Arabidopsis thaliana: one gene and its partners. The protein of the gene in region 1 interacts with the protein of each later gene in a pairwise test. Each region holds a gene or a part of one and is shown in the gene's direction. Other genes may lie near its edges. The genes, in order: AT5G27490, AT4G37445 and AT5G42200.

What was found.
Region 2: the proteins of AT5G27490 (region 1) and AT4G37445 interact in a protein complementation assay, tested with the Arabidopsis thaliana proteins (one large-scale study listed by BioGRID).
Region 3: the proteins of AT5G27490 (region 1) and AT5G42200 interact in a protein complementation assay, tested with the Arabidopsis thaliana proteins (one large-scale study listed by BioGRID).

What each region holds. Positions count from the first base shown.
Region 1 is NC_003076.8:9,701,704-9,707,479, reverse strand, and holds AT5G27490 (Integral membrane Yip1 family protein), read left to right. Parts: upstream 1-2,736; 5' UTR 2,737-2,826; coding exon 2,827-2,889; intron 2,890-3,023; coding exon 3,024-3,063; intron 3,064-3,271; coding exon 3,272-3,352; intron 3,353-3,524; coding exon 3,525-3,714; intron 3,715-3,786; coding exon 3,787-4,054; intron 4,055-4,114; coding exon of another isoform or gene 4,115-4,143; coding exon 4,144-4,350; 3' UTR 4,351-4,645; downstream 4,646-5,776. Other genes in the region: AT5G27495 (Defensin-like (DEFL) family protein), read right to left, coding at 760-917, 1,019-1,103; AT5G27493 (uncharacterized protein), read right to left, coding at 3,934-4,046, 4,115-4,286.
Region 2 is NC_003075.7:17,603,053-17,607,543, reverse strand, and holds AT4G37445 (calcium ion-binding protein), read left to right. Parts: upstream 1-2,599; 5' UTR 2,600-2,625; coding exon 2,626-2,656; intron 2,657-2,746; exon of another isoform or gene 2,747-2,765; coding exon 2,766-2,880; intron 2,881-2,973; coding exon 2,974-3,034; intron 3,035-3,121; coding exon 3,122-3,400; 3' UTR 3,401-3,450; downstream 3,451-4,491. Other genes in the region: AGP18 (arabinogalactan protein 18), read left to right, coding at 603-1,352, 1,532-1,618; AT4G37440 (uncharacterized protein), read right to left, coding at 3,698-3,880, 3,954-4,432.
Region 3 is NC_003076.8:16,857,803-16,862,488, forward strand, and holds AT5G42200 (RING/U-box superfamily protein), read left to right. Parts: upstream 1-2,483; 5' UTR 2,484-2,720; coding exon 2,721-3,212; 3' UTR 3,213-3,488; downstream 3,489-4,686. UniProt on the Arabidopsis thaliana protein: E3 ubiquitin-protein ligase able to catalyze polyubiquitination with ubiquitin-conjugating enzyme E2 UBC8, UBC10, UBC11, UBC28 and UBC29 in vitro.

The sequences.
Region 1 (5,776 bases):
GAAATATAAAAAAATATAACGTTTAAAAACAATAATATTACATTAAACAATTTAACAAACATTAAAATTAACATTACAATAATATATACATGAAATAAACACACAAGTTTTATTTTATGTTTCTTTTCTAGTTTATATATAATTTTTTAGTAACATGTAAATTTTTGTTTTTCTAATATTTTTTTATATAATTATTTTTGAAATGTACATATTAGTTTTTTTTATGAAGTTTTATCATTATAACAAATTATTGTTAATATTGAGATCTATTATGTAAACACAAAAAAGTTTTAGAAATAGATTAATTTGAGGTTTTGTTGTTGGATTAAAGCAAAGTTCCCACTAATGGTATAGTTAGTGTAAACGAACTCTAAGATCACATCTTTGGAATAAAATCTCCTGTCTTTACATCAAATTCAAAGAGTTGTGTAGAATTGACTAACTCAACCCTCAAATCCTTATTTTGAAAGTTTATGACCCTTAAAATGAAGGTCATTGTTGGAGATGATGTAATTAAGGTTCTACGCGTTGTATCGAATTAAACTACATGCTCCACCGCTTGTTAATATTTTGAACCCCAGATCTAGTCCGGCTGAATCATCTTTCTAAAAAATTAAACTTTATTTTATTTTATTTATCTTACATTGACTTCTAAATTATCTTTATTCCTCTTTCATAATTATTAAAGATTATGAAATTTGTTTTTAGCAAAGAAAATTAGATTATAATATTATTAGCGGATACATATAGTTGATTAGATTATTTAGTCTTATTCAAACAATGACATTTGCTTTGAATACATTTACCGTAGTATACACCACTTATAAGAACACAACATATATCACATTTGCTGTCTCCTCCCGTACACAGGTCTGGACTGTAGCATTGTTTATGTGCTTGCTTCTTTAATCCTAAACCTATTTAACAATAATCATTAAACAACCGTTAATAAAAAAAATCAATAGACCCATATTTATTTACACATAAAAGTAAACATTTGCATAATGAAAAATAGTACCAGGAAAACTATCAGAGCAATGACCAAAAGATACAACGAAGATAGTCAGGACAAACACGATTAACATTTTCTTGCTAATAGTCATTTCTATGATTTTGACTTAATTTTGTTTTTGATGTTTATGCTTTGTTACAAATGGTTGTATTATATATATATTTTGAAGTCAAAAACGAAAAAGCAAGAAAATCTTTTAGTTTATCTCCTCAGATTATAATCAAAAGAAACTATATTAGGATGATTTTCTTACATAAAAATATTTGAACATTAGTGTGATCAATAAAATCTATTTGTACTTATGAATACTATCTTTTTGTAGAAATAAATGTCCTTGTATATATGTTTGATAATAAATTATATAAAAATTAATATATATGTATTTATAGTAATATCTTATTGTATATATTTTGGTTTCTAAGAGTTAGTAATTAACACGATCACAATACGTATCAAGTGTAACGATTAGAGATATCTTGCCATGTTAGAAAAAATTATATGATTTGATGTTAAGAAAGAGAAGTTTATTATAAAAAAAACTTTTGTTTATTATAAGAAGACTTTTGTTTATTCTCTACTAAACCTCAAAAAATAATTATTATACTATTTTTTAAGATGATATATATGTATAAGAAATTATACAATTGATTACTAATTTTATATAGCATGTGATTTTTGAGTTAAATGTATTGATGTACTTAATTTATATGCACGGTAAAGCTACAAAATTTTGTGATTTTGTTTTTCTAATAAAAAAAACATAATAAAAAACTTTGATTTAATCAATGTTATTTAAATATTATTTTACCGTTTTTATTGGTTTAAAACATAAAATCTGTACCTGGTAATTTAAATTTTTAATTTTATATGAATCTGATGATTTAAATCTTCAATTTTATGTTGACTTTTTATTTAATCTCGAATTCTGGTTGACTAAGCCAATTGAGACACATCGTTAACTGGAGCTAACAGATAGTATCATTGTTTAGTTTTTAAAGAGTGAGATGAAAATAATCATACTCGTGTAGAAGAAGATTTTTTTTTTTTTTTTTGCTAAATTGTAAATATTTCATAAAATGAAAACAGTTTAGGTTACAAACATAATTTGAAACCTAAAAGTATGAATCCATAGCAAAAAAGAATAAAAAAACATGGACACATAAAATCGGTTAATTAAAACCAAATTTTCGGTCCCTCTTCTCGACCTAAGCAATAAAGCGGCAGGAGAAAATGAAGCGATGACGTTCGAATCTATTCTTCTACAAGAATGTGTTGCAAGAGCAGAAGGGCTTTAGCTAATTGTTAAAACACCCAAATGCGACAGATCAAGAGCGTTAGAAGCCTTACTGGTTTACGTAGGACGCTAGAAGAAGGGCGATGACACTTCGTCGATGACATCTCTGTTTACGTAGTTAACAATTTGTCTTATTTGGTTTTATCAACAAAAATTCGTGATTAAAATAAAAATCAATATAAAATTAAGAATTTAAATAACAAGATTCGAGTTTATGTTTTAAACCACCAAAATAACAAATAACAAAAATTGTAAAGTCATGATTTAAATAATATTTCTCCAGATTTGGCGCGAAAAGTTTGCACTGAACGCTTCATATCACTTATGTAAACAACATTGATTAGATTTGACTCGCTTGAGATTTAATTAAAATCGGATGACAAAAAAAAAAGAAAATGATATTTCCCCTAATTAAAAACCCTGTATATAAAAAAAATGGTTTGATTGCTACTAAACGAGAAAGAGGGTTTGTGTTATTTCTGTTGTTTCAGCTGTGAGAAAGAGAAAAAGAAGAACGAAGATGATGATGTCCGGTGGAAGCTACACGAACATCGATCACCAGAAAGTTTCTGGATCTGTACCCGTAAGCTCTTTCGTTATCTGATTCGTTCATATGTTTCTGTGATCCTTCTCTTTACACTTGTCCATTGGATTGCATTGTCGATTCTCGTTTCTTATCTCAATCTGATCAGATCTAGTTTCCATTATCCATCGTAGGCTGTTCCAGATCCTGGACATGTCACCGTCAAATTCGCAGGTAAACATTTTCGTATTCTCGTAAGAATGTATTAGTTTTGAATCGGTGATAGAACGGAACTAGGAAGAGCTTAGAGACATTTTGTATTTAGTGCGTTGAAGGAATTTTCAATCTAAGGTTTATAAAATTTGAATAACGATAAGATTTAGCAATTGTGTGTGTTATATATTGTTCTGTGATTTGATTGAGGGATACATTGTAAATGCAGACTCAAATCTACAAACGTTTCCTCCATCTGCTACTCAGGGAAAGATTTCTGGTGGTACTAATCCTCCTCGAGATGCTGACGGTAACTTCTCCTTTCGATTGAGTTACGATTTTACGGAGTTTTGCTCGTTTTTTAGTTAGAAGTTGACTGAGAAATGTAGGATATGAGGACTTGTTCATCCACTTCTTTATGTTGATTGACTGAGTTTTGTATGCCTTATTGGCTAATCTTATCGACTTTCAACCGGTGGCAGATACATTTTCGAGGCCTGTGAATGGTACTACAGATGAACCTCAGTCTAGTGGTTGGCTTCATAGATTCACTGTTGGTGCTTACAAGCCTTACTTTGATGTGGACACTTCAGATGTCGTAGAGAGACTCAAAGAATCGCTCTTTCCGTTTAGAGGAACATTTACGGAAAAGACAGCCAACAACCCTGATTTGTAAGAGTCGAGTCGTTACAGTTTTTTAGCTAAGTGGACTGATTTTGAAGGAGTTTGTTGCGTGGATTACAGGTACGGGCCATTCTGGATATGCACAACATTGATCTTTGTAGCAGCATCCATAGGAACATTTGTTACATACATAGCACACAAATTGAAGAAACAGGAATGGAACTACGATATTAATCTGGTGACTTGGTCTGCAGGAGTTTTCTACGGTTATGTAACTATTGTCCCTCTCGCATTATACGTTGTTCTCAAGTACTTCTCTGCACCATCAGGCTTAGTCCAACTCTTCTGTCTATACGGATATTCCCTATTCGTCTTCATCCCTGCATTGGTTAGTTAGTTTTACAAATTCCTCTTTTTACTCCCAATGAGACATCCAATGTGGAAAAACCCGAGACTAAGAAAATGTCGTTTCTGCAGTGTCTCTCTGTTGTGCCATTAGAGATCTTCAGATGGGTTATTGCGGGTTTAGCTGGATTCATGTCTGCTACATTTGTAGCATTGAATCTCAAAGCACATATTAACTCTGCAGGAGAGAGATGGTTCTTGATTGTGGTCAGCATATTTCTTCTACAGCTCGCTCTCTCAGTAGTGCTGAAGCTATATCTGTTCACTGTCACCGTATAAATTATTCCCTCAGGGGAAGAAGCTATGTTTTTTTTTTCTTCTTTTCCGGTGGTTTAGCTAAGGCACAATTCAAATATCCCGTATAGAGCATAAAAGGAAAGAGTTATTATACCTTGGAGACTGTCCAATTTTTGTAAACTAGAGACTGAATCTGTGATGCACGATTCTTCTTTCATTTGTTATCATCAACAGAATATGCTTTGACACACAATGTAGAGATCGTATATTAAACTAGTTAAGTCCCGCCTATCTAGATGGTTGTAATATAAAATTTCTTCAAATATTTATTTATAATATTTAAATTTTAAATAGTAAACCATGATCCACACATTTATTTTAATATTTATTTTAATAATTTTTGTATTTAACAAAATTTTAATCATACACATTCAAATTTTACAATATACTAGATTGATAATTCGTGCTTCACCCGAGTGTTAAAATTTGATATATAAATTTCGAAGATTTTTGGAAACTATTGTACTATGACATTTTAATTGTATTAGGGTATTTATTTTGTATTAACAAAATATAGTGTTTTTCAAAAACTCAATTTGGAACACATGAGAAGAGAATCTGTCAACTGGGTTAGGTACAACCACTTTGAAGTTTGAGAGTATATACCATTTTCCTTCTCTTAATGTAGAAATCAGTTCTTCTTTGTATGCATGTAGAGGAGACAATGCATCGATTCGATGTCCCAGAGATCATATATAAAATCTCAGTGAAGATATATAAAGTATTCAAAATCATAAGCATTGTCTTTTCTAAATATATAAAGTATAAAATCTCAGTGAAGATATTGTATGGATGTTTATATTCAAGAGATCCAGTAAATAACAACTAAACTTGAAATAAAAACTGTAAATAGATTTTTCATCCCTGCTCATCAACTAAAATCATAGTAGGTTCTTCCCCGAAATAATTAGGAGGCCAATTCCACAACCTCAATAGCTTAACACATACAGAACTTTTCGTTTTTTAGGACGCAAGTCAGAGAAGTTCTTGAAATTTGACATTTCCAGAATAACTCTTTTTCTTCTTAGTGTTTTCTTTTTTGTGGAAAATGAATGAGATAAGAGGAGAGTCTATTGATCTTTCCAATAAACGTAACTTCTTTTTTCCGAAAATAATTATATCTTCTCTGATTTTTCAAATTTCACCCAATGAATGATTACTTTTTTTTGAATTATTTTGAGGGTTTCAAGGTTCATTGATAAACCCTATTTTTGAAAATACAGATTAATCACAAAAATTATGATATATCACATCTTACTTTTCATTTTTTTTTTAATATAGATGCAAGTATATTGACTATAAAATTTTAAAGATCTTTTGATATTTTCATCAGTTTCAGTATAACCTTGAAACCGATTCTTTACTATTCAATAAGAAAATAGAGTTTGGAATAATTTCAAAAATATAT
Region 2 (4,491 bases), on another chromosome or scaffold:
TGCATTATATTGAACTTGAGTTTAATCATTTTTCATTATTAAGGTTATTTATTTATAGACGCATGATGCATCAAGTCATAATAATTTCACCCGTGATGATCACATAATAATACTAATCCAAGACTCCATGTGTCGTACCCCAAAAATTTATCTCAATTATACTATGTACCTTATATTGTGCTATTTTTTTAACTAATAATTTCCCGACAATTTAGTAGTTGGAAATTTCTCGACCGTGTGATATAATCTATAATATAAAATATCATAATTATTAAACAATGATAAAATTTGTGAGCGACATTGGTATCAATTTCAAATCCAATTATTATGTTGACACAAGACTAGTGATTTATAGTATAACCAATTTAATGTCTAACGTAAAAACAATTACTATTAATTGATTTTCTATATCTGATCATATGTTCAACAAAACACATGCTAATCTACCCACCATTGGCGAATAAATTTATTGCAGAATATAACAGGAGAAAAATGCCAAGAAAAAAAAATCCTTATAAAAACGCACAAGAAAAAAGTAAAAGAGCTATTCTGTAAAATAAAAATGAAAAAAGTATTGAATCCTACATTAATAGATACAGGATATGATGTTCTGTTTCTCAACGGCTACATCTGTCTGTGATCCTTTTTTAATCCAACGATCCAGATCTCTCCTCATCGCCTATATAAAACTCACTTCTCTTACATCAAACAAACAACACGCTTGGTTAAACTCCATCAGTACTTTAACCATCACTTCAAAGTTCAAACTCTTTTTTTTTTTTTTGTTTGATCCAAATTTTAACAAAATTATGGATCGCAATTTCCTCCTAACAGTTACATTGATCTGCATTGTCGTCGCCGGTGTCGGTGGCCAATCTCCTATCTCTTCTCCGACCAAATCTCCCACCACTCCTTCTGCTCCAACTACTTCCCCTACTAAATCCCCCGCCGTTACTTCTCCCACTACGGCTCCGGCGAAAACTCCAACTGCTTCGGCTTCTTCACCGGTTGAGTCACCAAAATCTCCGGCTCCTGTTAGCGAGTCGTCTCCACCACCGACACCTGTTCCAGAGAGCTCTCCTCCGGTTCCTGCACCAATGGTTTCTTCTCCAGTGAGCTCTCCACCGGTTCCAGCACCAGTAGCTGATTCTCCTCCAGCTCCGGTAGCCGCTCCGGTTGCTGATGTACCGGCTCCTGCTCCAAGCAAGCATAAGAAGACTACAAAGAAATCGAAAAAGCATCAAGCTGCACCTGCTCCGGCTCCGGAACTTCTCGGTCCACCTGCACCACCGACTGAATCTCCCGGACCTAACTCCGACGCTTTTTCTCCCGGTCCTTCCGCCGACGATCAGGTACATTAGCTTATATCAACAATGTTGATATTTATCTACCGTCACAAGTTCGAGTATCAATGTTAAAAATAACCAATGAGACATTTCAAAACAGTGAACATAGATTTTCAATTTTTGTTATATTGATTTAGTAATTACATATTCGATTAACTAAAATGAAAATATGGAATTGAATGCAGAGCGGAGCAGCGAGCACAAGGGTGTTGAGGAATGTAGCGGTGGGAGCGGTTGCAACCGCATGGGCCGTTCTCGTTATGGCATTCTAAATTATTTATCATTTCACCTCTGATATTTTTTAGTTTTTATATTTTTGACCCTACCATTGTCTCTTTCTTTACGAATTTGGTAATGAGTATTATTTAATTGATTATACAGTTTGTTTTCTTTTATTTTATTTATATGGAAATAATAAGAATTCATATCTGTCAGTGATGAAAATACTGTTTTACACATTGATTGTTCTTTTCTTTTGCAGACAAAAGTCCTTTAGTGATGGGTCCGAGTTCTTTATTGAAAATGACACATTCAATTTTAATGCAGAATTATGGACATTTACTCTAAAATAAAATGTTTGTGTAAGTAACGTCTATGTAACAATAAGCAAAGCAGTTACATAATTTGTTTTAGTCTTTTAAATGTTTAAAGTGTTAGTAAATCAAATGTTGATATTTACGTTTGAAACCAATTACATGTGTTTCTTTAAACAAATATTTACAATTGGAGTATAATTATGCGAGAATGAAAGTGTCAGCTACTTAGTTGGATCTTAGTCTTTTATAATGTGAAGTTGGTAAATATTTATTGAATTCATATCTGATACCCAACTCAAGTGGCCAAGTTGCTATAAATGAATTGTCTAAAATTTATTACTAAACATGTATAGATCCAACCAATCATATAATACAATGCTTTTTATTGTACCTTTCAAATAGCTAGATTCATATTTTTGTCTTGTTCCTTAGAGAACTAGATTTGAAAAAGAAAAAAATTAATGGATATCTAATATGGTAGGCAAAAAGAAAGTGAGAATAGAGGACAAGTCATATTCCCCATGCTTTTATTAAAAGTACATTACTCAACTGTGAAGAAATGGCTAAGATTTTGTAAGTAAAGCACAAGTTATACTTGAACCAAGGTCTTGTGTAGAGATTCAAGATTCTTGGCTTTGCAAAGACACAAACCCACCAAGCCAAGTCTCTGATTCCACACACCAATACAAATTTGTATATAAACATAACATTTTCTTCTTCCTAAAGACTAACTTCTAGACAATATGGGTAGTTCAATGGGCTTTCTCGGAAAAGGTTTTGCAATTTTTTAACCTAACAATTATCGACTCAAATCGTTATATAACCGTTTTGACAAATTTTCGTCCTATATATCTTTCTAAATAGATTTCGATATTTGGCCTAGGGGTACCACCGACGCAGATGATGAATATGGTAATGGGTTCACTCTACAAACAATTTACCCAAAAAGCTATCAACAACTTCGACGATTTCCACGTTGCTGTTTTAGACATCTTTAAGTAAGGATTGTTTCATTATTTGATCATTCGAAAACAATGGTTATGTTGGCCAACATTTTTTTTTTTAAAAGGAATTTTATCTATTGAGTGCAGCAACTTCAACTCGGCTTTACCAGGCAGGCACTTCGATTTCCCAACCCCGGACCAAATAAAGGTGAGTCCTCTCCTCTATCAAAATCACACAAAGAATCTTATAATAATTTCTCTATATTTTTAACACAATGTTGAATGATCTAAACAGGTTTGTTTCGCGCGGTGGAAGGAAGCGAAAGACGAAGAAGAGAAGAAAAAATTGTTCATTGAGTTCATGTCAAAGAGCGTGAAGCCAAGTAAACTCGATGATGTCACTATGATCACCGGAATAGTATCTCCACCGGCGGCAATGGCGGCTAAGAGAGCAGGAGAGAATGTTCCTCAGTTAAAATTAATCAAACTTATACCTGATGTTATATTCGTCCCTACGGTCACCATTTTAGCCATTGTCTCTGCCAAACTCTCTAGACGAATGTATTTGAAATAGTGTTTTAACTAAGCTTTCTTTCTTTTCCAAACAAAAAAAACTTAGCACCGACAAGATATAAAACATGATTGATTGATAATACAAAATAGAGAAAAATATATACACTCTAAATTATAGAAGTAAAGTTCAAAAGTTGATGTAGTTTGAATATATTGTTGACATGAAGAATCAAAACACAGCCACTATAAATATTTCTTTGTACTTTAAAGGCTTAAGAGTTAAGAATATCTTAGAATGAACAATTTTTACTTTTTAACACAAGATCCGATTAGTTACTTGAAAGTTTCCAAACCTTCTTCAGGATCTTCTTCGTAACCCGGCAGAGCCTGACCTTCGTTTTCCTCGCTTTCTCTTCCTGTTGGAAAACCTAGAAGCCATCACAGCATTAGACTTTGGCTTCTCTCTTGAAACCCGACGCCTCTTTGGGTTACTCTCTTCCTTCGTAATGATTTCACGATTGCGCGGTGTTCTTTTCCTTACCTGCGTTGTGTTAGAATGGCATATGAGACCAAAAGGGTTTAGCAAAGTTACACTGAGTTAGCGGAAAACTTACAGGTCTTGATGGACCTTCCTCAATTGAAGCTTGTTCTGTCTTCACTAGATTCTTATCGGGAATAATAGATTTCCCTTCCCTTCGCTTTGATGCTAGAATCTCAGACAGTAAAATATCTGTTGTCTCGTCGTCTTCAGGTGAGACGTGATGAGATGAAACTGAAGCAGATTTCACCGGTTTTTCTTCAGAGATGATCGATTTCTCATCTTCGTTTTTGATAGCCAGCAGGGGCTTTTGTTGTTCTGAGCTGGTGTATACATCAGCAGCTCCAAGTGGATTCACTGTGTTAGCCAGAGGGAATATACTTGGATTTTCACTCAAAACCTTGTCTACGCGGATCTTCAAGTTACGGGCTTCTGACTTTGCTGCTTCAATTTTCAAAAGTATCTGTTCCAAGTACGCATCGCCTTCTCTAAACTCGAGAGGCGGTGTCTCTTCAGAGAAAGCTGTCTCATCCTTGGCGCTCTTATTCTTCTTATCTGATGACCCAAGACAGAAAATATTTTATAAGATCAAAGTTTTCAAAAGGAGTAATATC
Region 3 (4,686 bases), 7.2 Mb from region 1:
AAAATCAGTTGTTGCAATTTTTTAGTACCGTCGATTATTTTATACATAATCAGCTCTAGAGATTTTATGCATTGATGCTTCTGTAATTATACTTTTTAATTTAATTTCTGTTGTATATTTTGAATGTAGAAAAGATTCTAGAAACGAAAATAAAAACATTTTAGTAATAAATTAATGTAAATAATATAAAAAATACATAATGTAAATTAATATTGTTCTTTATATTAATGTAAATTAATGTAAACCAGTCTAGTAAATATAGCGCCTATTTAATTGAAATTTATTTGTTAGAAAATAAATAACTACTTTAACGCATTATCTTCAAGTGCTATCTTCTTTAACTTTTTAGTGGATTGGACTTCTCCGTCGCCTCTAATTCCTAGAACATGATTGCTATTATTTTATACAGCTCTCAAACTAAAGTACTTTTTGTAAGCATAGAAGAAGAAAATACTTTTAGTCTCAAAGTAAGGTAAAGAGAAATTTTGAAATTCCATTTCACCGGTCACAGAAAAGCAAATAAATCAACGACCCTAGCTTTGAAATTCCATTTTACCGGCCCAAAACACAAATGGCCATACAACCGCAAACATTGTATAATACGATAGCTCATGATTTCTTCATTAATAATTAAAAGAAACAGAATTTATAATTTTGTTGGAAAAAAGTTAAGCAGGTTAAATTAATAATTAGCATTGCTTTTTCAGAACTTAAATGTCGAGAAAAGTGTTGTGCCATGTTGTTCTATATTCTGTTGGCTAATTTATTTTCTTCCAAAATGAAAGAGCTTCAATAGTAGTATTATAGAGCTTTTATGTTGCTCTATTTTCTGAGGTTCTTAATGATATTTTTTCTGCTTTGTATTCTTCTGTATGGACTAATTAAGATTCTGAGTAGTAGTCTAAGTAAAAACATATTTTCATATAAAGGTTGTATGAAACTGGTGTAGAAATGTGTTTCGTGTGAATCCAACGTACGTAATATGAACAAACACGTGACAGATAGGAAAACATTAAAAGGGTGTTTTACCAAGACATTATGACGTTCAAGTAATTAAATAACGAAACCACAAGAATTGATTGAACACCATAAAAAAATGTGGGTTTTATAAAATCCTAGTTTTGTTTTACATAACGTCACATGCACTAGGACACCACCTATCATGTACATTGTATGGCTCTCATCATACTAGTCAGACATATAAGTACATCTTTAAGTACAAGAGTTTGCCCTGATTAACTCAACACCTATATCGCTGTCTATTTAACTGGTAAATTTTGCTTGGACTAGGCTTAATACCATTTACAATTACAGATTCAAAAAAAGAAAAAAATAAATAAATTCATATAAAAATTAGTCGAAACAAAAACCAAATGATGTTAACAAAAACGAAATGAACACTATTGTTAACAGAATCCGGCATACTCAGCTTCATAAACAAAGCTTTAATCTTCTTTAACTTTGAAACCAAAAATTATATTACCATTAAAAATGTATATCCGACTGTACTGATCACCACCACTTTTATCATCAACAAATCTCTCATCTTTTACTTCTCGAAAATAATGGTGAGCTTTATTATATTCTATTTCAGATTCCTAAAAGTCCGCTTAAAACCTTTAATATTGTTAGACTCTTGTTTCATATTAATTATAGGATGTTTTAGTTAAAAATACATATTTTAAGATTTTATTTTCTAACTATCATTGACTCCATAGAAATTTAGGGAGTAAAATTTAGTTTTAAAATTTTTAACCAATGATAATAAAATATTAAATGCATTGAAAAGTTGCATAGAAATTTGTAAAACATCTTTTATTTTGAAACCAAAAAAACAATTCCCCAAAAAATCCTATATTCTAAAACAGAGGGAGTATTTTCCAAAAAATGTTTGTCAAAGATGTTATTTTCTAAACTGCTTATTGTAACTAGCTAATAACTTCCCCTCTACAATCTGTCTCCGATCTTAAGCATGCCATCACAGACATATGGTGGCCAATAACATAAGCATACAAAACCTTATCCTATATGCTATCTCGTGCTCGATCACATAATTCATGATCTTTTGATTGACAAAACAAAAGAGTATTATCCAGTTCTACTTTCTCCATGTGAAACCTCTTGAAAACATTTTTCACACACTCTTTTAATGATAGGGTTGAGATTTTCTTTCGTTATGTTAATTCTCATTCCAAAAATTTAGTTCGATCAAATTACTAATTATTTTATATATTGGTATATAGGAATGAAATAATAATTATTAAATTTTTTTGTTGTAATAATATAAGTTTATAAATAAAAAATCTAAATTTGGATATATATATATATATATATATATATATATGTGTGTGTTAGTGGAAGCCATATATCAAATCGTTTTCATTGCCATTTAAAATTGACGTTTTATAATAATTCAATGGGGCAAAAGAACCTGGTGTATATAAAACAAGCAAACCCATAATAATAAAGAAAAGCTGATTGTACGAAAAGAAACAAAATCATAACAATAATAGTTTAACCTAAACCCTGATATTTGGCTCTACCGTGTCCTAGCCTCTCCTCTTTGTATAAATAGCCGTTACTCTTTTTCACATGATTTTCACTACCAACAACACTTAGAGAACAAGCAGAGGAATATAACTTTTTTTTTCTTTTTCCTTTTTGCTTTTTTACAACCAAAAAAATAAAGCAAGCCGTAGAGAGCAAGAGACGGTGTAAAGATGCACTACACACGCATCTCGCCGGCTTTAGTACCATCTCTATCACCAACCGCCGCGGCTGAATCTAGCGGTGGTGGGACGATGATAGCTACTGTTTTCATGGCCCTTCTCCTCCCCTGCGTCGGCATGTGCATCGTCTTCCTAATCTATCTATTCCTCTTGTGGTGCTCCACACGGCGTCGTATCGAACGCCTTCGATTTGCTGAACCGGTTAAACCGGTCACAGGTAAAGGCCTTTCGGTGTTGGAGCTCGAGAAAATCCCTAAACTCACCGGAAGAGAGCTAGCCGTAATAGCTAGATCAACGGAATGTGCTGTTTGCCTTGAAGATATAGAGAGTGGTCAATCGACTCGTCTAGTTCCCGGTTGCAACCATGGGTTTCACCAATTATGTGCTGATACGTGGCTATCTAACCACACGGTTTGTCCAGTTTGCCGCGCCGAGCTGGCTCCGAACCTACCTCAATGTAATGAAAATCAAAGTCCATGTTAGAAACAGAATTTTCAAAAACATTCTTTCCTTCTTTTTTACTCGTTTTGTGTACTTCTCTTGTTTTTCCCTTTTCTTAGTTTTGTGTAAGCGTTATAGAGAGAGAAGTTTCCAGGTTGTAACTAGCCTTGTTGTTTTTTTTTGTACATGAAATTAGTTTTAGAGTAAATTACGAAATTTACAGTTATGTCATTGTATTTACAACAATTTTTCTTCAACCATTACAATAAGTATATCAATGATAGAGTTAAACTTTGGGTCCAACAAAAAATAAATAAATCAGATCACTATAAAATGTGATGATTACTGTTTTTCCCCCACAACATAATGAGTACTATGATGATATCAATAAACAAAAATAAGTACATAAAGACATATTTTGTGTATTTATTATTTATTTAATAATGGAGGTCAAAACATTTTGACGCATGGCAATGTAAAGATCTGGCAGAATATGGGGATATAATTCTTAAGCTGTAAATTTTTCTGAATTACAAGAATTATATAAAAAAATTCACCACACATGACGAGGAAAGTAAGGTGGTAATTAGTAAAATGTACTTTGTTTTATTTTTTACTCCCCGAGGGTTTCAAATCAAGTATTAAATTGCTAATTCTTAGAGTGTTTGAAACTTTGAACAAAGATGTAAATTATTCTCTGCGTATATTTCTTGAGTTGATTAATATGGTAAGAAAATGAACTGTCCAGCTGCATGCTTTTAGTCACGCGTTTCTAAAAACAATCTCGAATTTACTGAAGAAAAAGTGATTGGATGCATTTACTTCTTCTTTTAAGAGAAAATGTCACCACCATCCTTTTCCAATCACCAATGATACGAAACCCATTCACTGATTCAATATAATATCTTCTTTGGTGGAAAATTTTGTTTATATGATTACATGTAAATTACACTATTTTTGGGTCAAAAATATAAATCACTATTTAATTGAGAAATATGTACTAGCGTTTCAAAACCTATTTTTTAGACAAATAGTTAGCATAGTTTTAGTTTTTGAGGTTTTTTATTTTATTTTATTTTCCTCAATAATCTATAATTTTAGTCCGAATTTGAACATACGTAAAAAATAAAAAAAATCCGAAGTAATATACTTTTCAACAAACCTGATTTTATTTTAGTTAACATGTGTAATATGGCCATCGGGCCACGTACAAATGTACTTCATTGTACAATATTGTTTCGGAAGAAAAACCAAAAAAACAAAAAAAAAAATCTTTCAAATAGACAGACATAAATGAAAATATCTGTGGTAATTAATGTGGGTTGTCTGTAACGTAGGTTTTTGGGCAATATGTATCTGTGGGTTCGGAATTTGTTGGCGTGAAGGAAGTGGAAAATATCTCAAATGGTAAAGAAGTAGGGAAAAACCACTTTTTGTGGCTTGACAAATCAGGTTCCAAAGTTGGGTTTTTATCGCTTAAATTAAGAAATTAATCAAATAGAGACTAATAAATCTA